Astyanax mexicanus: one gene and its partner. The protein of the gene in region 2 interacts with the protein of the main gene of each other region in a pairwise test. Links are inferred from orthologs where the notes say so. Each region holds a gene or a part of one and is shown on either strand. Other genes may lie near its edges. The genes, in order: psmf1 and pak5.

Region 1 (11,664 bases), on a different chromosome or scaffold from region 2:
TTTTATAAAACACTAATAAAATATAATTTAATAAATGTTTTTTAAATGCAAAATATTAATTTGTAATCTGTTTTTGTTGTGGTGTAAGTGGTTGGTAGCATTTGCAAAAAAGGCACAGAGCCATGAAAATAAAAATAATATATATTTTTTATTTATATATTCTATCTATTTATGTACTTTTTAAACTAAGCCTTAAAAAGAGCTTTTTGAGGCCAAAATCCTAATATTTTACATTTACATTAAAATTAACATTTTATCCAGAGGTTTTGTGGTCAGCTTTGTTTATTTTATCAAATATAATATGATTATGATAATCATGAGAATGATTATCTTCATTATATAAAAGTCCCTCCATGCAGATCTGTTTTAACAGATAACAAATGTTTTATACAGAAGCTAAAATGAGATGAAATGGAAAGAATAGAGGAAATAAACAGCTTTATTGTGTAATTAGGTCACAGTGGCTGTGTAAATCACTGTGACTGTTCTCCAAACGCTTCAGAACTTTCCACTTAAATTAAACAGTCAGTAGATTAAACTCTGTTCTTTAGTTTTTATTAAAGTGATGTTTTAATGATAGTAAAATCACATTAGCTGAGTGTTTGTATTTATGGAGTGTAGATGTTTGTGTTCTCTGTGTTCTGGAGTGAATGCATGTGTGAGAAGCAGGTATTCTGTTTACTGCAGACGGATATTCGTCGTTTCTGGGAATCTGGTGGAATAAATTTGAGGCAGAAATGTAACATAAATAAACTGGTTCATATTTTGGATGGTCAGTTTTCACTTTGCCACTGTTGACAGATTTTCTTTTATCAGTTTCTTCAACAGCTTAGAAAATCTTTCAGCATTAAATCTTATATTTTCTCATATCTGTCTCATTTACTCATTTGTACAGTGTGAAGATATAAGTTATGGTTCATTTTATGACAATTTTCAGTTTTCCCTCAACATTTATTTGGTATTTACTTATGAACTGTATAAAAAACACAATCCATCAAATTGAAAAAAAAATCATGTTTTTAAAAATATTTTTGCCAGATGATTTTAAAAACAATACTAAATAAAAAATCAACAGTTTTACACCAAACCCTCACTCAATGAATCTGTCTTGCTTTATTTTATTACTACAGTTTAATCTCTACTATTATTTCTATACTAAATAAATAAATGCTGTATTATTATGCTGTAATTGTCATGGTCTCGTCCTGTTTTATGTCTCTCATGTCTGTCTCTGTGTTTTCCCGCCGCTGTCTTCTGTGCTCTCATCTTCATGTGTTCATTTGTAGCTCCACCCCCTTGTTACCTGTTCCCGGGTGTTTCCTGTTTTGCTGTCCTCTTCCGTGTGTATAAATAGTCCCTTTGTTTCGACTGTTTCTTGTCGGTGCTTGTGCGTATTATCTTCAATCAGGTTACGGGTTTTTGTAGTTTCTATGTTTTCCGTGTTTATTTGTTGCTTAAATTTTAATTCTTGTTTAATACGGTAAATACTGGCAATTGCATCTGCTCTCTACGTCTCCTTACTACTCTGTACCTGACAGTAATCTTAACTGTAACAGGGAGTTTACTCTGCATTATAATTATAAATATGAGCTTTTATATTATGGAATTGTCCAGTGTATTCCTCCTCTACTGGTCCATCCATGGACATGTTCTTCTCAGGTGGAGAGCAGATGTTCCTCTTACTGAAAAATTGGACGTTTCTGCCGAAGAACAAAACACTAACGCCCTGATTCAGAGTCTGGGAGGTGAAGCTGACGTCCTGCAGAGCGAGGAATCCTCACTGTCTCATCATGTTTGAGTTATATCTCTCTTAGTATCTGATAATAGAGGTGAAAGTTCTTCTCTTTGGTCACGTTTGGAGGTTTGGAGGTTGTTCTTCTCTCAGGGCGCTGAGGGCAGCTACCGATTGGACCCTCAGCCGAGCAGAAAGCCGTTAATCAGCTGAGCTGTAAAAGAGAAGCGCTGATTTGATCGGCACCGTGTTTAAAGGATTCCTGAGGGCAGACATGAAAGAAGGAGGAGTGTGAAGAATGTACAGAACTGAATGGTATGAGATGAGAGGTGGAGACTCCTGGTGTTCACAGCAGGAGGACGAGTACGGGTCGTTGTGTGTACTGTATGTACTTCTCTTTTTCTGTGTGTAAAAAAGATGTGCATTCTTAAAGATGATGTGCATCACATTCAAACCACATGTCATATGGATTATTCACATATGTGGGTTTTTGGAGGTTGTATGAACATTTATTTATGGAATTTAGCAGATCTTATTCAGAGTGATGTGCATTCTAGTGGGTGTAAATAATATTAAAGGGCCTGAAGATGAGGGTGAATTAAAGGTGATTGAGGCATTTGTTTTTCTTGACATTAATAGATCAGATAATAAATAACCAAAAAAATTAATTTCTGTGATACTGAAGATGTTCACTTTTCTCTCAATTTAACTAGGCCAATCTCAGAGAGATCAAGGCCAATTGTGCTCTTTCGGGGCTCTGGCAGCTGATGGTGAGCTGCATGACCAGGATTCGAACCATCATAGGGCAGGAACACTCTGCGCCAGGCTATATTTAAATGTTGTCACTTCTTATACGAACCTTCACAGCGTCAACCAGCAGCTCAGTTTCCTCTGCTGAGAAGAGTTTGTTGGACACGTCCAGGTAGCTGCACCGTTACAATAGCAATCCACCAAAGTCAGAACTCACCTGACTCTCTTAAAGAGATTGATGAGCAAGAGACACTCTGATTGGTTTATTTCACGTTACACTCAAAATTATTATTAAACCACACTTATGAATAATTAACCGAATTAGTACATGACTTTTGCTTTGCATTTAGAGCAGAGCAAGGTGTACTTTTCCTGTCGTTATGATAGCAAAGACACACTGACGCACCCTAAATCAAGCTGCACGGTGCACAGTTTACCTATAGATCACTAAAATAGGGCCCAAAGTCTTTGTACCAGTTCATATGTATATGTATATGGGTTAATTTAAAGTTCTGCACAGCTTTTAAATAGTGCCGTAAAGATCCTGCAGTAGATTTATGTGTAGTGCTGCTTAATTAATGAGCTGGGAAATATAATTTTATAATCTTTAGGGATTAGAGAGTTAACGCTCTGTATTTCCAGGCTTGGCGTCTCTCAGTGGAGACGGAGAGAAGAGCTAGTTTAAAGGCTTTCCTCTACGGTGCAGAAGAAGTTTATGAGCTTAAGACAATGATTAGCTGAGATATACACACCCGGGGGTCACTCCCAAATCAGGACCATGTGCTGCACCTGGACTGGGAGTGTGTGAGAGTGTGTGTGTGTGTGTGTGTGTGTGTGTGTGTAAGTGTGTGTGTTTGTGTTTAATGCAGGAGAACACTTGTTATAGTTGAGAGTTGCACCCTCAGCTATTAAGTTATTAAGATAATTTATCTGGCGTTGATTTTATTATTGATTATTGATCATGCTTTTCTTAGAAGATCCTCAGATGTTTTAATCTCAGTCTGGCGGAGCTGCAAGAAGGTAACCAGAAGGTGAAAATAAAACAAAATCACATCAGATATGAATCAAATGTTTATTTTAGATATATGCCAACAATTCTGACACAATAAAAAACTCCATATCATGATGTTGTACAGTGGTATGAAAAAGGTTTGGGGACCCCTGATCATTTTTTATGATTTTCCCTTATAAATATTCAGTTGTTGGGATTAGCAATTTAAATTAAATATAGTTAAATATATCAAATAGCAGAAGAACACCTGTTTGCAGAAATAACAGCCTCTAAACTCTTCTTATAGCTTCCAATGAGAGTCTGGCTCATTTAGTTTAATTAAGTCAGAATTATTGCACACTTTCTGTAAATCCTATGAACTTAATTTCCCTTCTAAAATATCACTATGTTCACCTGCTTATATGACATACATATTAAACTGAAATTGCTGATCTAAATATATATATATATATTTATAAAGGGCAATCATGAAAATTATCAGGGGTGCCCAAACTTTTTTATAGCACTGTATTACATATATTTTAAGTTCCTTTGAAAGGACAAATATTTTGTTCATGTAGATAAAAAGGTCCATGTTCACATAATAACACACATTCATTCACATTGTATTTAATGTTTGATGTATTCAGTCGTGTCCTGTGTGAAGTGGATGCTCTGATGGTGAGGTCAGGTCATTAGGCGTGAATCACAATCCTCACTATTAGAGAGATTCCTCCTCCTGTAGACGCGGCTCAGCCGCTCGTTACTGCACGCTCGGGGTCACGCGGTGGCGTGGGGCCGGTCTGGCGTTAACGTGAGAACCTGCAGCTCGTTTTGTATTATAATGATGCATCAGGTCTGGGTTTCGTTAGGGACCCGGCTGGAGACCCTCAGACATGGTGGCCCCATTCTTACTGTTATAAAGCACAGAGTTCTGCAACTTACTTACAGACAGAAATATAACATAGACTGAATCAGATTCAGATTTAAGATCTTAGTTAAAGATTAATAAAGATTAATAAAGTCTGATTTCACTTTTACACCAGCTCTGTTTGGTCCGAACTCTTCAGTTTCACAGAAAATATCAGGAGTAAAAGATGCTACAAAAACAATTAACACAAATTTGCTTTCACTAAAAAGGGTTTTGGTCTGTATTAACTGAGCCATTGTCTGGTTTTCTTGCTAAAACACTTCATTAAACATTTCATGTTTAAATAAAGGGATCAGAGTCTGGAGGAAGAGTGGAGAGACACACAGTCCAAACTGCTCAAGGTCTAGTGTGAAGTTTCCACCAATCAGTGATGGTTTTTTTGGAGAGTCATGTCTGTCATCTGCTGCTGTTGATCCACTGTGTTTTATTATCAAGTCTAAAGTCAGTGCAGTTTTGTTTTCCAACAAAATCTTACAGCACTTCATATCTTACAGCTTCCCTCTGCTGAAAACAACTTTTATAAAGATGTGGATTTCATTTTCCAGCAGGACTTGGCACACTGCCCACACTGCTCCCAAAGTACCAATTGGTCTTATATAATATTCTAATTTTCTGATTAGAACACTGATTTTTGGGTTTTCAGTGGAGGATGGAGGATGTAGATGTGATTCACTCTTGATAAATGGTACTAAAATCAGTCCAGGCTCTACAGTCAGTAATAAAGCTGGAATAGAAGCTCAATAAGGAGGAATAGTCTGAATAGTTTGGATCTAAAGTTCTCAGGGTTTGGCAAAAGTTCACAAAGGTCTTTATAAACACTGTAAATTAACATTTCTATAACAAGGCCTGGGTCGAATAGCAGAGCAAGCTTCTGAAATTAACTTCTGAACAATGTGTTTCCAATGGAGCTGAAGTTAAAGCAGATGGCTGTGTTATCATTCCTGCTGGTTGGAGAAAGTCAGGCGAAGCTCCATGATGAAACTGGAGACCACATTCTTTAATGATTTATTTCAGGAGGGTTAAACCGTGAGAGGAGGAGGAGAGAGAAGAGCTCATCTCTGTCTATCTGTGGAAAATCCATGTTACTGTAAACAGGGGCTGGTTTAGTTATTAGAGGTCTGTCTGATATCACTGTGATCCAAACACTGATCTGCAGAAACTAAAAGACTGAACATTAAAGAGTAAGCTGAGTGAAGCGGCCTATAAATCATATTAATCATTGTGTGTTTATATATTTTCATTAACGTTAACATTAGGTATAGATTTAAATCATATAAACGACTATTCTGACTCATGCTTAGTCTTTACACACCGACAGATATTCATTAAGACTTTATTATAGGCCAGTATTAATAAGGCAATAAGGCTAAATGATACCTGCATAAACCATTCATAAGAGTTTTAGAACATCCCTTTGAACATCCTGGCTGAATATTCCAAGAGCCTCAGCCAATAAGTAAATAAATAAATAAAAAGATGTCAAAAATCATCATCATAATGGAAGTGTCTCTTGTTCTTTTAAAATATATATATATATATATATATATATATATATATATATATATATATATATATTTTACTGTATATTATATTATATATAATATTTTATTATTTTATTGTATTCATTTTATTTTTATATAAAAAAAATAGTAAAAAAAGGTGTCAAAAAGTCGAAAAATGTTTGTTGCAGAAAAATATAAATACACATATTTTTATGAAATACTATATTATGCTTTTAATATTAAAGGAATATAATGAACAATTAGCTATTTGCTATTTTAAATTCTTTGTTTAATTGTTTTTATTTTATTTATTTAGTTTTTTTAGTTCCATTCACCCCATTCACTAAGGACTCTCCCGCGGGCTCTAGCGGCCTACAGTGATATGAAGACCCGGTGTTGTGCCGAATTCAGCACCCCCGCCCGAAAAAGCATCCCCCTTTCGGGAGCGCGCACATAACTGTCTACTTGGTTTTAACTTAGTTTTACTTAAAGAATGGAAATACCCAATATACTGTTATAACCTGTTATAAGATAAATATTAAGAAATAAAAATAATCATGTCACCCGCAGCTTATCCCTAGTGAGGGTGTTTTTCCTGGTGGAGGGTGCTTGAATTTGGCACAGCACCGGTGTTCTGTCGAGTTGTGCTACCCTATCAAACCGTGCTACCCTTTTGTGTATATTTAAAGGTAAACATATAAAAGAAGCACAGTATTAAAGCACTTTCCCAGTAGAAGTTTATGTACTATTTTATTATAATCTGCTTTTGTATTTTTAGAGAAATTATTTTTATTTTTAATTATTGTTGTTATTATTATTAATAGTCATTATACTTTGACGGTGTAATGACAGTGTCGTCAGGTTGTTAAATGCACAGAAAAAAAACACGGGAAAACATAATTATTATAAAACACAGGAGAAGTAATAATAAAATGTAGGTTACCGCATGTAACGTAGTGTCTTTAGGAAGCACGTATCGACGGGTAGCATAATTCGGCACAACACCGGAACTGAAGTCTGGCGGCTGCGTGTTCACTCCGGACCGGTTAAGCGGGGAGGCGGTGTGATGCAGCAGATGTAAACAGATCAGGGCTGTTTTGGTTTCGGTTCTGGAGGTTCTGCAGGTTTTTGCTGGGTCATGGCGGGGCTGGAGGTTCTGTACAGCGGGGTTTTGGGCTCTGTTAGCTGCGCTCAGGACGCGGCGGTGTGTTTTGTTCACTGGGAGATTATTAAAAGCGGGTTTAAGTGTTTAGGGACTGGAGATCAGGTGAGTTTTCTCTAATAAACTCAATAAAACTCAATAAAACTCAATATAAATACAGTGAAATATGATTAACACTGTCTCTTAACCCTGCGGCTACTCACTCTTTCTTATATAACGTTATAATACATAACTCCAGCTGATTAATTTATTGTTTATTAAGTGTAACGTTAATTAAGTGTAGCTCAGTGACACAGCACACTAACGTTTTTTTGTCATAATAATATTCTTTTATTGTTCCTTTTTTAACCAAACATAACATTCAACACCATTCACACAACATATACAATACAAAGCTACACCACAAACCTAATTCACACATTATACATTTACACAGCACAAAATAATTGATAAGATAATATAAAATAAGTTAAGAAAGCATAAATTGACAATTGCAAAAAATATATATATACATAATCACAATATTTCTTAGTATTTTAAAAGATGTGTAAAACTCCTTATAGCACTTTCTTAGTCATTTTAACATCATTATTCCACAGAACAGCGTGTGAATCTGTGTGTGTTTATCTCACCGTATTATTTATTTATTATAAGCTTAGTGCTGGAGATTAAACTAAACTAGCTAATTTTTTAAAAGTGTAAGTGAATGATTTGCTTTTTTATTGTACTGTTAATAATTAATCATTTATGGTGCAGAACTAGTGATAACATAATTATATCAGCTTCTTCATTGGTGTCTTCTTCCTTAAAAAAAAAAAAATATATATATATATATATATAATTTGTATGTTTGTTGTTTTTCTCTGCTGAAAGAATTCCAGCTTTTGCTGGTAGCTGGTTTCACATTGTCTAAGCTGATGGTCACATTGCAATACTATATATATATATATATATATATATATATATATACATTAATGTGTAATTATATGTAAGTATTACACAGCTTACAGTTCCTCTCTCTTTCCATCCTGTAGCCTCGAGATGGAGAGAAGAAATCCGAGTTGCTTCCTGCAGCCTGGAACGCCAGCAAAGAGCTGTACACCCTGCGCTACAGATCCAGCGATGATAAATCTAACCTGCTCCTGAAGGCCATCACTGTGGATTCCACCCTGATCTTCAACTTCATGGTAAAATCTAAAGAACATGAGAATTCCTGAATATTTAACCTGCTTTTCTGAAGTTTTGTGACCTCTAACCTCTTTATATATCTACCAGGACTCCGCTACAGACAGAGTAACAGACCTGACCATCACTGTTTCTGATTATGTAGATGAGAACAGTCTGCAGACGTTTGACAGGTTGGTTTTAAATGCATTTATTCCACACTAATTTATAAAGTTTTACTGTTTATGTGCTTTTGATATGTTGTCATTACTCTGTAATTAAATTTACCCTAAAACATGCATACAATTCATACAGCATAATGTGCGTAGCAGATTACTCTCAGATCGCTTTTATTAGTGTTTATGAAGGAGGGTTAATCTACAGTTACAGTAGATACAGAATCACCAGCAAAGAGTCATTTAAATGGTGATCATAAGCTACCTCAAATTACTGTAATTAGTCTAAAATTCTAAACCATCCAAAAAACGAATTATTTGAAAGTTCTTACATCTCCCTTATCTGCTGACCTGCCACAGTCATTAGTTACAGATCCCTCCCTCAAAAGAAGTCTGCTGGATAATCCTGCTGTGTACTGTCTGAGGTTCTCAACCAGCAGAACGAATTTGAAACGTTTCTTCAACTAGAAAATCTAGTGGGCGGGGCTCTAGTGGGGGTTGACAAGTGAGGGGTGGAGCCAGGGTGGTTCTATGCAGGTTTTCTTATTGTGACATCACAATAAGGGAGGAGCTAAACGGCTGATAGAAGAAAACGTTTCGTACACTTAATTCTTTCAGCTGATTAACAGGAAGCGGATGGATTGGTTTTTTTTTTTATGTTTGGAGTATTTAAATTGTTTATAGAGGCAGAGAGACACTAGCGGAAAAACAGAAACACCAGAACTTTTTTAACCCAGAATTTCTATCCTTCTTTAGTGTGTTTAAGAACACAGAAGATCTGGTGAAGAAGCTGAAGTCCTCACTGCTGCCTGCAGCAAAAACAGAGAAGAAAGAGAAGAGAGAAAGACCTCCAGCTGCAGACACCCGACCCAATCCCGACCACGACCCTCTCCGCATCCCCTCCAGAGTTCCCCCCACCGCTCGCCCCCCAAACTGGTGAGTAAAGAGTGTGCATCATTTTTTACACTTTTTTTTGCATGTTCTCATTATCGCTGTGGAATTTGATCAAAATGATCTTGAATTTATAACATTACTGTATTTTTTGCACTATAATGTGCACTTAAAATCCTTTAATTATCCCAAAACTCATCAGAGCTCCTTATAATCCGGTGCTCCTTATGTATGAATTCTATCAGTCAGGTATTAAGGAGCAGTAAAGACACTCCACTGAAGTACAGAGTTATACAACCATGGCTAGCCTTAGAGGAAATCTGGATACTGGATATTTACTCACCTAAATAAACAGTTTTCAGGAGAGAAATCTGTGTAGATTAACATCCAGCACTCGTTTCACTTTAAAAATAATGTGGTTTATAATCCGGTACGCCTTATATTCCGAAAAATACGATATATTATTAATTAAGTCATAATATTTTAAATTCAGTTAAGCAACTCATTTACTCGTTTTGCTTCAACTAGGTAATATTAGTTCAATATTAAGCTATTGATGACAGTAGTAATAGTCCAGTAAATCCCAACATCTTTACTAAAACAGAAATCACAATAAACTCAGTGACCGAGTTCTATTTGAATAAATCTCTATAGAGAGAGCAGAAGCTTTGATTCTCATTATTGGCTAAAAGCTCCTGACCTTGATGGTTCTCCAGTTACAGCGCACTGTGGTTCCTGTGGAGAGCTCCCATCACCACATTCTGCTATCAGCTCTATCTCTGAGTGTAAAAGCTTATAAACGCATTGTTGTTCCAGACCCAGGCTTTAATAGAAATAAATGTGATTAAATGAGATATTTGACCAATTACAACACATTCCACTGTGACTGTGGGTGTGTTAATGAATTAGAGCATTTATAAAAAAATTTATGGATTCAGGGCTTGTCGTTGTGTCTTTGGTATTGTGAGAGAGCAAAAGAAATACTCCAGAAATGTAACTGAACACACCTAATTTCCAGACCACCACGCCCATCATTAACGGCGCAGGCACAAGATGTGAAAATAAACTGTTGACGGGGTGTAAGATAGCGAAGAGCATCACGACGCACCTTATACAGGGTGTATGATAGGCAACCCTGCCACGTGCACCATTGTTGTTCAGTGTTCTCCTTACGGTGGACTCATGAACTTTAACATGAGAGAGGCCTTCAGTTGCTTAGAAGTTACTCTGCAGTCCTTTCTCACAAATATGTAATATTGGATCATTTTCCTCATTAAATAAATAAGCACGTATCATATTTTTGTCTCATTTGCTTAACTGGATTCCTTTTATACACTTTTAGGGTTCACAAACTTTCAAGCACCAGTGTAGATGGATAGATAAAATAGTTTAATTGAATTATTAGATGTGAAAGAAGGTCAGAATAAAGATAAATGAGAAATTTAAGAGTGGAGGAATAAATGACTCATACAAAGGAAAGATTTGACATTCAGCATTTGAAGAGCTGCAAGGCAGTAAGAGGCACAAAATGTTATTTTTACCAAGAGAGGGGAGAAAGAAAGAAAGAGAGAGAGAGAGGGAGAGAGGGGCGGAGGAGGAGGAGGAGGAGTGTCGTCCTTAAGGACGTGGCAGGAGGCCAGAGAGGAGTGTGTTGCTCATCTTCAGCTTCACTTTGCCGCACTGACCCAAACCCTATCAGGTTCTTTATGATGTCAGAGGCTTATCAACACTGCTGCTGCTGCTGGCCCAACCCTGCAATATACAGCTCTGCAAAAAAATAAGTCCACTTAATGTGAAGAGTTTCTTTGATTTTACCAAATTAAAAACCTCTGGAATATAATCAAGAGGAAGATGGATGATCACAAACCATCAAACCACCAAACTGAACTGCTTGACTTTTTACACCAGGAGTAAAGCAGCATAAAGTTATCCAAAAGCAGTGTGTAAGACTGGTGGAGGAGAACATGATGCCAAGATGCATGAAAAAAAACTGTGATTAAAAACCAGGGTTATTCCACCAAATATTGATTATTTCTGAACTCTTAAAACTTTATGAATATGAACTTGTTTTATTTGCATTATTTGAGGTCTGAAAGTTCTGCATCTTTTTTGTTATTTCAGTCATTTCTCATTTTCTGTAAATAAATGCTCTAAATTACAATATTTTTATTTGGAAATTGGGAGAAATGTTGTCTGTAGTTTATAGAATAAAACAACAATGTTCATTTTACTCAAACATAAACCTATAAATAGCAAAATCAGAGAAACTGAAGTATAGCAGCACTTTAGAAACCTGTGTATCCTCTTTCTGTGTTTTTCAGGACAGACCCGATGGCTCCGTTCGCTGCAGGAGGAGCAGACCTCG
Region 2 (11,627 bases):
TCAGTGTGCTCAGGCCAGAGCTGTTACTTTTCTATATTGTGATTAGCACATTATAGCTTTATATAAAAACCGATATCATTGAACACCCCTACTTTTCACTAAATCCCACCTTCACATACTTGTTATTAAACCCTTAACATGCATTTTTTCATGTGTGATAAAAGGGCGGGGAAATGGATATATTTCACTGCCCCTATTTTAGACCTCTGATGATAATTATCAACTTACTATACAATAAATGGACATGACCTTAATAATTATTATGTAATATAATATAATAATTAATAATCGTGATATTATCTATTGTGTTCATCTGTATGTTTGTTCACATATTTAACAGAGAAAATAATTTTTTGTTAGAGAAACGGTCTCTACTGTTCTTGCTGTGCAGTTTTAATGTTAGTGAGTGTGAGTTCAAAGTGTTTCATCCCCATCTTCCAAACTCAGCACAAAAGTACTGGATGGAGCACCATCATTCCTGAGATTCTATTTTTTTACTGCTCCACAGATCAATGCTGGGGGGCTTTATACCACTGTAGTCCATGCCTGGAATTAGGCATGGTGCCAATAGGTTCATGTTTATTTGCTCCAGAGAGAAATAAATAAGTCTCAGCTTCCAAGGGCTAATGTCTAACGACTGAACCTCATTCAGAGAAACTCAAGCAGCGTGGACTGTATCTCAAAATATGTCGCTGTGGGAAACATTTCAGATGTTTTAGATGGTTGTTCTCATGTTGCTGGTTGATGCAGAGAGTGTGTCTGTGGTGGAGGTACAGGACGTATATCTGCACTGCTAGGCCAGATGCCCCCGCAGTCCTCAGTCTCAGCAAGTCACAGCGGCCTTCGCTGGCTGCGTGGGCGTCTGTAAAAATAGCTTGTGAAGTGATAGAGGGGTGTGGTACCACTGCAGACTTCACACTGAGCTCCTGGGGCCTTGGGAGACACACCGGCCCCTTTAGAAACACTTGATAGTTTAAAGGATCTGAGGGTCTTTTGAGGGTCTTCACTCACTGAGGAGCTTTTAGGGTCTCGGGGGGTGGGCTCTGTTCAGTGGTGTCAGTAAAAATAGATATTGAGCTGTGTGTGTGTGTGTGTTTGTTAGCACAGGTTTCAGGTCACTGTTTAGAAGTTTTAAGTCTTTATTTTATAAAAGGTGAGAGTGAATCTTTAGGTTAACAAAAAGCACATTTTAGAAGGAATTAAACTGAGGCTGATTAATGAATCTGTTCATATTAGGAGTGTGCCACATCATATCATACACAGTATATTGTGACCCAGTAATATTGTCTAAAAAAATCCACATTGTGACAATGCATCTTCTTGTCTTGAAAGCAGTCTGTTATTTACTGTGGTTAAGGGTATTCTTTGAATCTTTGTGAAATTGTTTATGCTCTATCCTGTTTTAGTATCTGTTTAGTATTTTTGTATCGTGTATTTTTATAGTTATGTAATTTATCTATAGTAGCCCTGTCAAAAACCTCTGGAATATAATCAAGAGGAAGATGGATGATCACAAGACATCAAACCAAGCTGAACTGCTTAAATTTTTGCACCAGGATTGGCATAAAGTTATCCAAAAGCAGTGTGTAAGACTGGTGGAGAGCATGGAAGCAGTAAATAAAAATCAGTTTTCTTTGCGTTATTTGAGGTCTTGTCAATCTACCTGTACATAATAAAATGAGCAAAACTAATGATTTGAATTGGTCTTTTAAAATATATTTTTTTACAATTAACTGCCAGGGCTTTTAGGGAACAAAATGAATTAAAAACAAAACAAAATTGTAAAAAAGAAAAAAACAATCATATATTGTGCAATATATATATATATACAGCCCAGGAATATAATCAAAAGAAGATGGATGATCACAAGACATCAATGCATGAAAACTGTGATTAAAAACCATGGTTGTTCCACCAAATATTGATTTCTGAACTCTTAAACCTTTATGAATATGAACTTGTTTTCTTTACATTATTTGAGGTCTGAAGGGTCTGCAAATTTGTTGTTATTTCAGCCGTTTCTTGTTTTCTGCAAATAAATTCTCTAAATGACAATATTTTTATTTGGAATTTGGTAGAAATGCTGTCCGTAGTTTTGTAAAATAGAACAAAAATGTTTATTTTACTTAAACTCAAATAAAAATATGAACAATAATACTGCATGGCAAGAAACTCCAAACGATTGTGACAGTAACAGTGTGGACTAGAGACACAGAATCTGTTTTAAGTGACTGTAGCAGCTGTTTCTCTCCCTTTCTCTCTTTCTGTCTCTCTCTCTCTGTTCTCTCTCTTTCTGTCTCTCTCTCTCCCTCCCCTTTGTAAACCTCTCTTTCAGCTCTGTGTGACACACTTACTCTCACACACAAACAAATAGAGTAAAGAGGAAGCTGGGGTCCGCGCTTGGTGTCGGTGTCAGCCTCTGGTCACAAACCTGATGCGGTGTGTACGAACGCGTGTGTAAACGCACACAAGGTGCCAGTGTGCCCCGGGGCGTGAGAGGAAGTGGAACAGAGGGTGAGGATAGCGGGCATCTGCAGCAGGATGATGGTGTGGGCCGGGCAGAGAGGCGACTGCCCCAAGTGCCGGAGCTCTGGGCTTAGCCTGTCTGCAGTGGGATGCTGCCGTCGGCACTTTTTTTGGCCCAATCTCACGTCGGGCGCTTTCAGAGTGCGCATGGGTGAGCAGCCCAGGGCGAGGCCCTCACTGCACCTCCGCTGAGGAAGGGCCCGGGAATGCCATTCTCTCCATACATGTGCTGGATGACACTTTTATGGAAGCTAATGTTGTGCCGAGTGTGGCGATCTTTCCGGAGCCGTCGTTTGGGCAAAAGGGAATAATGAATTTGATACCAGGTAAGACTGTATGCAGTGGTGGAGCTTATTGTAGTTGTTGTTGTGTAGAAACCTTGTACAGTGCTAAAACTAAAGGTGTTAATAGGTTCTTAAGAGCAGTGAAAAGATGTGTATGAGGCTTTCAGACCACAACGATGACAGGTTACTCTATCATTTATTGTAACAGCTATTCTTCCCAGAATTACAGAGTTTTAGCTTAAATATAGAATATTATTGTTGGCTAATCAGGTGAGAACAGTTGTAGTTTGCAGTTGCAATTGTTTGTTTACTAAATGTCATTCATGATGTGATGACGCAGATGATGCATGTGTTCATTCATGCATTTAGTAACTTGGCAGTCAGACCACGCTTTAGATGACCACCTGTTTGGGTCAGACTCAGTTTAGACTGGCATTGCCTTTCAGGAATAGAGTGTCTTCCTCTCTGATTCTTTTGTAAGGTGAGCTTTCAAGTGTCTTTGAATGACCACACAAACACACACAGGTCAGCTAGTCCGTTCATTTCAGTCATGTGACCTTTGACATTTGATGTTCATTTAGCAATGTTATTATATTGTGAACTAGAGGATTATTAGGAATTCTTCTAGAGAGCCTGTCACATAATTCTCCAAAAAATAATTGTGAAAATGGTACAATTGTAAAAAATGCAATTACAAGTTACTTTTAAAGAGCAACGACCTTTTAATTATTGAGTATATTGTACATACTGAAAGTGTACAATATTTTGTCAGGTGTTAAACGTGTCTCACTATACTTTTATGCACAGGTAACCAAAACAATTGTTTGATCATTGTGGGCGAGTCGCTGTGCACATGCACACTGTAGAAGCGATGAGGCAACACGTTGAAAAGTGGTCGTAGGTTGCCAGTTGAATACAAAACCCTTATTGAGGGGGGTGACTATAGTTCTAAGGTTTGAACAGACTTGTGAAATTATACAGGAGAGAAGTTGTTCTGTATAAATAAAACTAAGAAAGTCAGTATATTGGTATGCTGGAGTATACTCGTATTTGTACTTGTATACTTTACATAAATGAGTGTAAATGTAGTAAAAATAATGGATAATTTTGAGGTGAGAATAAAATGAATAAAATGATTTATTGCTAGGGTAAATATAGGTTATGACCAAATATTGTGTGACAAGTTGATCATGTAATTATTGTGACTTATAGGCCAAGCAGGAATTGTGTTATTACATTTTTCCCATGCTTGCATATGACATTAATCATTTACAACCACATCTTAATATCTTTTTTTTTTTGTTCATGTCCCTCACTAATTTGTCAAAATGACGTTTGCTTAGATACTGCTGCCTCTATTTTTGTTTGTAAGTGACTCACATTTGTCATTAGTGTGACCTGTGGCCTAAAATGCCCACACTCATTATCACTAGCCACTGTTGGCATTCTTTCAACACTGGATGATGATAACAGTGATAAGCACACACACACGATGAAGTGCGAAAAAAAAAAAAAACTTGTGAATTGTGATCTGATGATCATTTACTTTGGTAACACAGGGTTATATCAGTGGTACAGAAGAGAACACATGGCCTGAATCAGATTTAAAAAATTGGTTCTAAATTACAATAAAAAAAACAGGAAAAACTAATTGTACCTTTTTTACTAGTCCTGTACTCAGTCTTAGTAAAATTCTCCTTGCACAGTCTGTGCATTTCTTTATTCAGTTAAGAGTGCTATGTGTGCTGAATGCCGCACTAAGGCCCGTACTTTAGAGGATGTACAGGGAATGGAATGGTCTTATAAAGTTGCTCCTGGAGGCCTGAGAGTTATCAGCACATGTGTACAGGAGCCTGAAATAGCCACAGGGCCTGTGCTGTGAGCAGGGCTGTTGGGGAAGGGCCAGACCCGCTCTGTCCCACACTGCCACAGTGCTGCTCTGAGCGGGAAACGCCTGCCGTCTCTCAGATGGCGACAGATGGTTCAAGGGACAAACAGAACTTAAGGATCTGTGCCTAGTTCCCCCTTTCAGTGCCACATCTCAGACCCATGGCTGTTGCTGAACATGCTGGACGAGGACATTAACTCCTCTATCTCTGGCCTGGCTTTGGGGCCTAGTACTGGCTAATATCGATAGGTAGGTATGAAAATATTTGTGTTATTACAAAAATATGGAAGTATCTTAATAGAAGACGATATTTAAAGTACAGATATTCACAGGTATATACACATTCTTTGTATACACATTCTTTGTAGTTTTAAGTTAAACTGTTTTTTTTCCTGCAATAATCATTTTATAGTGATTGATTTTTGTTCCAATCCTTTCAGCTCTCAGACAGTAAAATTTTTTTCTTAATTTTTTAAAGTTCTTAAGAATTGTATTGATAATTAAATATTAATTTTCCACTTTATTATATAGCAGAGAATCAGAGCCTCTGATTGGCTCCATTCTATCCTGCCTGCTCCTCACAAAGCCCTAAGGAGACATTAGAGCTGATATTAATTAAAGTTACAAAAAAAAAAGAAAATTACATAGGTTATTTCTGTTGTCATGGCAACCCAGACAGCACTGATTTATGGAATATACAATGTTTCCATTGATATGATGCATGTTTTATCGGTTGATATGGACAACACTAATAATCACCAGTATGAAGTGTCCAATTCTTAGAGACCTATAAACTAATGTACCAAAAGTCATGGCACAGTCAGTAGCATCATGATCCATGACTTTTTCCTTGTCCTATGGAAGCTAAAGGGTGCTGCACTGATCTGTGGGATACGTGTGTTGGACCCACTGCATTGAATGTGGATGTGATTTGTGCCAGAGAACTGTTCACATGGACAGTTTTAGCCAGACACTTCTTGTCACGATCATTGCCTCTACTGCACTGTCCACTGTGGGCAGTAATGTCTTCTATTATTTATTACTACTAGTCTGTAGCACTCCACCCCATTACATTTCATTTTCCAAAACAGATTTTGTTTGTGGCCCGCCATGTAATGGCTTGGGAAAAAAGCTTGAGTTGATACTTAAGCTTCTACAGAATTATTTTAAACTGTAGTATCTAAACTTCTACCCGAGTAATAAATGTCAATACTTTTGACACCTTTGTAGAGCTTGCTTGGACTTGCTTGTATAAAGAACATGCTGGCCAGTGTTTATAGTGCAATTCCATGACTTTTGGAATGTCAGTGCATATAACTATGAATTTTGCAGTGTGACATTACTCCTTGATCTGGGAATAGACTCATAAAATAACCACCAGACGAGCAAATAAAATCTTTCTTATGGCACCTGCTGTCTTAACCTTGGCTTAATTCAGTGTTTCATTCAGAGAGGCAGGGTTTTGTTCCTCAGAAATGTGCATGGTGCAGGATTGCAACACAAACAGGAGGTTTCAGTATTAACTCTCAGTGAATTTCCTTCTTCTGTCTATAAAATAGAACTTTTGGACTTCCCAGTGCACGAACCAACCAAGAAAAGAAAAGCCTACATTATGCATATCCATGAGCTCATCCACTGAGGGAATCCTCCACAACCCTCTAGATTAACATTTCATTCAAAAACATGCATGGCAGTTCAATCGCTTTTCTACCTAAAAGCCTGCAAATGTAAGTGGTGTATGCAATTAGATTCAGTGATGGGTTTGCGTGTGGTTGACTTTTTACTGACAGCAGAGAAAAAAAGGCTCCCAGTGCCCTGCATTTCCTTTTTTTCCCCTTTAACTGTTGGCCCAGGATGCCTTAAGCCCTCTCTAGTCTGTGTAATCTCATTCCCAAGACGTCCATACTCATCTAGGTCATAGGTTTCATTTGGAGTATGACTGCAGACAGCCCCTTCACTCTCATCCCTCTGCTCATAATCCCGTCCAATCCCTTAAGCGTGGCGCGTTTGCGGAGCCGTGGCACAAGCAGTGCAAACCCCGGCACATTAAGGGCTTGTCTGGACGTCCATTGTCCAGAGTCCAGCCAAGCTTTACTGTCAAGTTTCGGAGTCGATTTTTATTGAGATGTCATGTCAGGATTTTGCTGTGATGTCAGGAATTATGACAGCAGGGCTCCTACAGCACGTCTCATCGCAGTGTTTGGACTGGGGCTTCAGAGACCAGGCTTCTGCACTGAAGATGAAGACTGAGTCAGGTCTATATGATCATAGATTTTGCCATGTACAAAATATGTCAATGTCTTCTCAGTGGAATACTGAAATATTTGCCTAAAGCAGTCGTTCAGTCAAGTGTGCGATTCTTTAGTTTTGATTTGGGGCTATTAGGCTAGTGTAGCTAACGTGATCACCAGTTTGCTCTCTGCAAATGATCACATAGCAAAAAGTCTGCTGCCCACTGTTATTAAACATGATTTAGAGCAGGCTCAACTCTCCAACAACAAATTAGGACTAAAGGGCGTTGGTCCTAATAAACCCAGCCGGCCAGATGACACTCTTTCAGCTCCCATTCACTCCTTTAGCTGCCCATTAAGTAAATCGCATAGTGGGAGGGGGATAGTCTTAGCTGATAATCTACTCTGTAACCTTGGATTAAAGACACTTTCAGGTCTCTGGGTGAAAAGTGTGTACTTATTCTGGTATACTGTGTTTATGTTGTTTCACCCAGACTTTGTTCTTTGGCTTTTTCTGGATTTTATTGGCTTTGGCCAATGTTTGGAGAGGGCCCTTTAAATGGACAGATAAATAAACAGCAATAGGCCACATTGGCAACACTTAGTGTGGGCATGAGGCCAAAGGAAGAAAGGGCTTTTGGCATGCCCGCATTGCGTAGGAGATGAGGTGAGGTGATTGACAAGTCAGCAGAATACAGATAAGGGCGCTGATAGAGGGGCTGGGAAAGCAGTGCTGTGCACAATCAGCTGTTATTTTGGGTCGATGATACATGTGTAAGGTATGAGAACAATTACCAGCCAGGTCTGTAAGCATTTGAATAGTGACACAATTTTGTATGTTCATTTACACTATGCAAGGTTTAAAAAAAATAATTGTGCTTCTTTTAGATGTGCAGTAACAATTTCAGCCGTAATAATTCAATCCACATTTTTTAAAGGCACACTATACATCATTTGGTTGATGTATAGAGATTCCCCCTATAGACTAAAAGTTCACTGTGGACTAGCCATGCGTGATTGTTTTGAGCACAACAGACTGGCAAAAGGGTTGAAAGTAAAATACAAGTATAAAAAATCTAATCTAAATCTAGGGTCATCAGTAAATGCTAGTCTAGGCAGACTTATTCATTCTGTGAGTTTTATGGTTAGCAAACACGACTAGATCTTGTACCCGTGTTTCTAATGTAAAGCAAGACTGAACTGAGGGCTACTCAACTTTTGTTCACTCTGTAATGACTAATTTAATTATCTAAAACAGTATAAAATGAATTGATTAACTAAAAAAATATTGTATAGTGTGCCTTTAATGGATCGTGTATTTCTTTTTAAAACCTTATCCAGTTCTTTAGTTTTGTGGTAACAGAGACCTATTCTGCTGTCCTTTAAACACTATTAACAGACATGATTTACAGCTACCGCAGTTAAAAGCATCTCAAATAATAACAAAAACAGTCTGCAGTTTGCCTGTATTCTGCCATTTTTGTCCATACCATCAAAACCACTGTTGGGTTGTACTTGTGCACGGACAGATAATTAATATAATTCTGTAATATCTACTTGGGGGCTCAATTGATCAGCCTTGTTTTTCCAGTCCATCTGGGGGAATTTGCAGTCAACAAGTCAACAAATTGATCTCTTTGTAATGTCCCTTAAACTATTCCTGAACCATTTTTAACTATTTTTTTACTGGCTGAAAGAGCCAGTTTGCCATGAAGGGCTTTGACATCCACATGGATGTTACAAACTCAGGGTTTTCCAGCAGAACTCATGTGCAACTCATGTGCTCAGTGTTGGAGTTTCCAGAGGACAGGGGTCAGCATGGGAACACCCACTAACTGTGAAACACATACTTCTGCTAGAACCAATATTTGGTAACAATTTATGCTACATTCCTGTGTGCAGTGTGACGTGGTTTACCAGATGTTTTGTAGTAAACACTACATATCTGGAACACAAGACCTGCTGTTTTGGAGATGCGCTCTGAGCCAGTCATCTAGATATATGCTAATATTGGTTTTAATTTTTTATCAGTATTCAGTGTCTGCTGTATATAAGATGTTTAGTGTAGAATTGTTTCCATATTCTGCATGGAAGTTAAAAAAAATGCATATAGTGATTCAGCCTGACAAAATTTTAATATAAGCATTCGAGCAAATATATATATATTTTTTTTGAATGACAGAACTACTGTGATTTCTGTAAGATTTCTTTAATTGTTTTAAATAACTACACGTGGGAAATAATTCATATTAAATTACCCCACACTTTTCATCACTGGCTGATATTTTTTTGTACTATTTAATAATTGATTTCTAAATTGTTAAGGCTTTGTTAAGGCTTTCCCTGTGCACTCATGATCTGAGATGATATGTATATGATGTTTATGAAGCCTGATGGCAACAGTCCAGCTAAACCTTTTTAATAGTGGAGAAGCCCTGAGTGCTTGTACTCTGTTCCAGTGCAAATGTATGCATGTGGCATATTCAGATTAGAGCTTCCAACTTTAGCGTCATCAACTGTGTTTCCAGAGCCTGGTTTGTTATCATCATAAAAAAAATCAACCTACTTTAAGGGTTAACTGCCTTGACTGAACACATGAGAGAAATTGTGTAGTACTTGGGCTAAACAGTGTATAGTTTCATTGTTATTGCAGTGTTGTCCTTTGCAGCGGAGATGTTGCTGCAGACTGCAAGTATGCAGTATGCAAATGAGGCCTTTAATACATCACATGTTTTAAGTGTGTTGTTTATTGTGAGCATGCTGACCAATATTGGAATTTCCTGATTTGTTATTGTAGGTATTTTGATGAACCAAATTTCTCACATGATCTAACAGAAATAATTATGTTGCTCAGAATAATCCAGATTGATTTGTTTAGTGAAGTAACATAAAGAGGTTACCAGTGTGTTTATGTGCATGACCAGGCATATCTAAGTCCTGAATATGTAGCAGTATAAGCAAAATATACGTTTTTATCTACTTTTTTGAAACTTCCAGCCAGGAAATCCCCTGCTTGACCCGTCTCTTCTCCTCCTCTGCGAAGACTGTACGTCTGGCCTCTTCAGAAACCCCCTCTCTCCTCAGCACCCCGCTCTCTACTGTTTAAAACCACTAAATCATACCCAACGACTCCCCTGGAGCTAGAGTGAGCAAATTGAATGCGAAAGAGTCCATTAATCAGCTCTATGAGCTGCTGTGTTATTTTTCACTTTCTCGCTTACTGAGAGCCGTCCACACTGGCAGCTCTCTCAGGTGTTGCTGGGAGACAGAGCACTCCATTCATGCAAAACACGCCGCCGCTGTTTAACACACAGGTTGAATCTTGGGTGCTTCTCAGATATGCCCATGGGGTCGATTTCAGCAGCCGATATAAACGCTTGGACATGGATTAAGCTTGGTGTTGGACTAAATTGAAGTAGCAAAAGTGATTCAGCATGAGAAATTGCTTGTCCTTGTTGATCTCATGTCATAGAATGTAAAATTGCCAAATGTAAACTGCCTGGCCGAGTCGCCACTAAGTAAATGATGTGGGGTTGATGCTGCAGTTGGTCAGGTCTGGGTTCAGCAACAGTATGTGCTGAAAGAATGAGGTCAGCTGACAACCTGAATATACTGAATATAGACCAGGTTATTCCATCAATAGATTTTTTCTTCCCTGATGATACGGGCATATTCCAAGATCACAATGTGAGGATTTATGGGGCTGGAATTGTGAAAGAGTGATTCAGGGAGCATGAGATCATCATTTTCACACATGGATTGTTCACCACAGAGTCCAGACCTTAACCTCATTGAGAATCTTTGGGATGTACTGGAGAAGACTTTGTGCAGCGGTTGTTCAGACTCTACCATCATCAATGCTGCAAGATCTTGGTGAAAAATTAATGCATCACTAGATTAAAATAAATCTTGTGACATTGCAGAAGCTTACTATTATTATTATAGTACTATTAAAGTACTACTGTATGTGGCAATGATTTTCATATTTTACACTTTTCATAAAATGAAATACAGGAAGGTTATTTTGGCACCTTAAAATATGAAAGCTGCAAGTTTAAAGACTATTTTTGGGCTACATAAAATTCGACTCTAAAATGCTGCTCTAAGGAAAGACTAAGATAAATGTTTATCTGATGTCTGTTTTGAAGCCAAGCATGACCAACCTGATTTTGACCCAAATTAAATGATGTTACAAATAGTTTAATTGTTTAATTTAATTTAATGCCCTTCTCATTCTCCTTCACACCTAGACACCTGCAACTTAGAGAGAGAGAGAGAGAGAGTGAGTTTGTGTGTGTGTGTGTATGTGTGTATGAGAGAGAGAGACAGAGAGAGAGCCCAAGGTAAACTGCGGAAATCTCTTTCTAATAAGCGGTTCTTACAGAAAAAATACACGTGATGTGTGAACAGCCTCTAATTGAAGTCAGCTTTACATATATTAATATAAAAAATTGCATGAGTCTAATATACATGGTTTTTATTAAGGCTAAATGTGATCCGAAACAGACGGACTAAACACAGCCCAATTTGCTACGTCTATATTTGGTCTAAACAAGGGTAATGATGTACTAAGCTAATAAAATGTATACATTAAATGTGAAGGAAACAATAGCTATAAGAACACAACAAAATCTAAATTGTATTTGAGAATCGCTTATATATTTGAAGAATATCAAGATTTTAGTTCTTTACTGCATC

Evidence for each region.
Region 1: the proteins of pak5 (region 2) and psmf1 interact in binary tests that used the Homo sapiens proteins (3 or more experiments, as listed by UniProt). The two-hybrid records come from large-scale screens. The link is inferred for Astyanax mexicanus from reciprocal best matches to the Homo sapiens genes PAK5 and PSMF1.

What each region holds. Positions count from the first base shown.
Region 1 is NC_064412.1:57,501,332-57,512,995, reverse strand, and holds the start of psmf1 (proteasome inhibitor PI31 subunit), read left to right. Parts: upstream 1-6,937; 5' UTR 6,938-7,044; coding exon 7,045-7,173; intron 7,174-8,102; coding exon 8,103-8,255; intron 8,256-8,343; coding exon 8,344-8,426; intron 8,427-9,164; coding exon 9,165-9,344; intron 9,345-11,620; coding exon 11,621-11,664. UniProt on the Homo sapiens protein: Plays an important role in control of proteasome function. Inhibits the hydrolysis of protein and peptide substrates by the 20S proteasome. Also inhibits the activation of the proteasome by the proteasome regulatory proteins PA700 and PA28.
Region 2 is NC_064408.1:73,055,837-73,067,463, reverse strand, and holds the start of pak5 (serine/threonine-protein kinase PAK 5), read left to right. Parts: upstream 1-6,833; 5' UTR 6,834-6,847; coding exon 6,848-6,953; intron 6,954-11,627.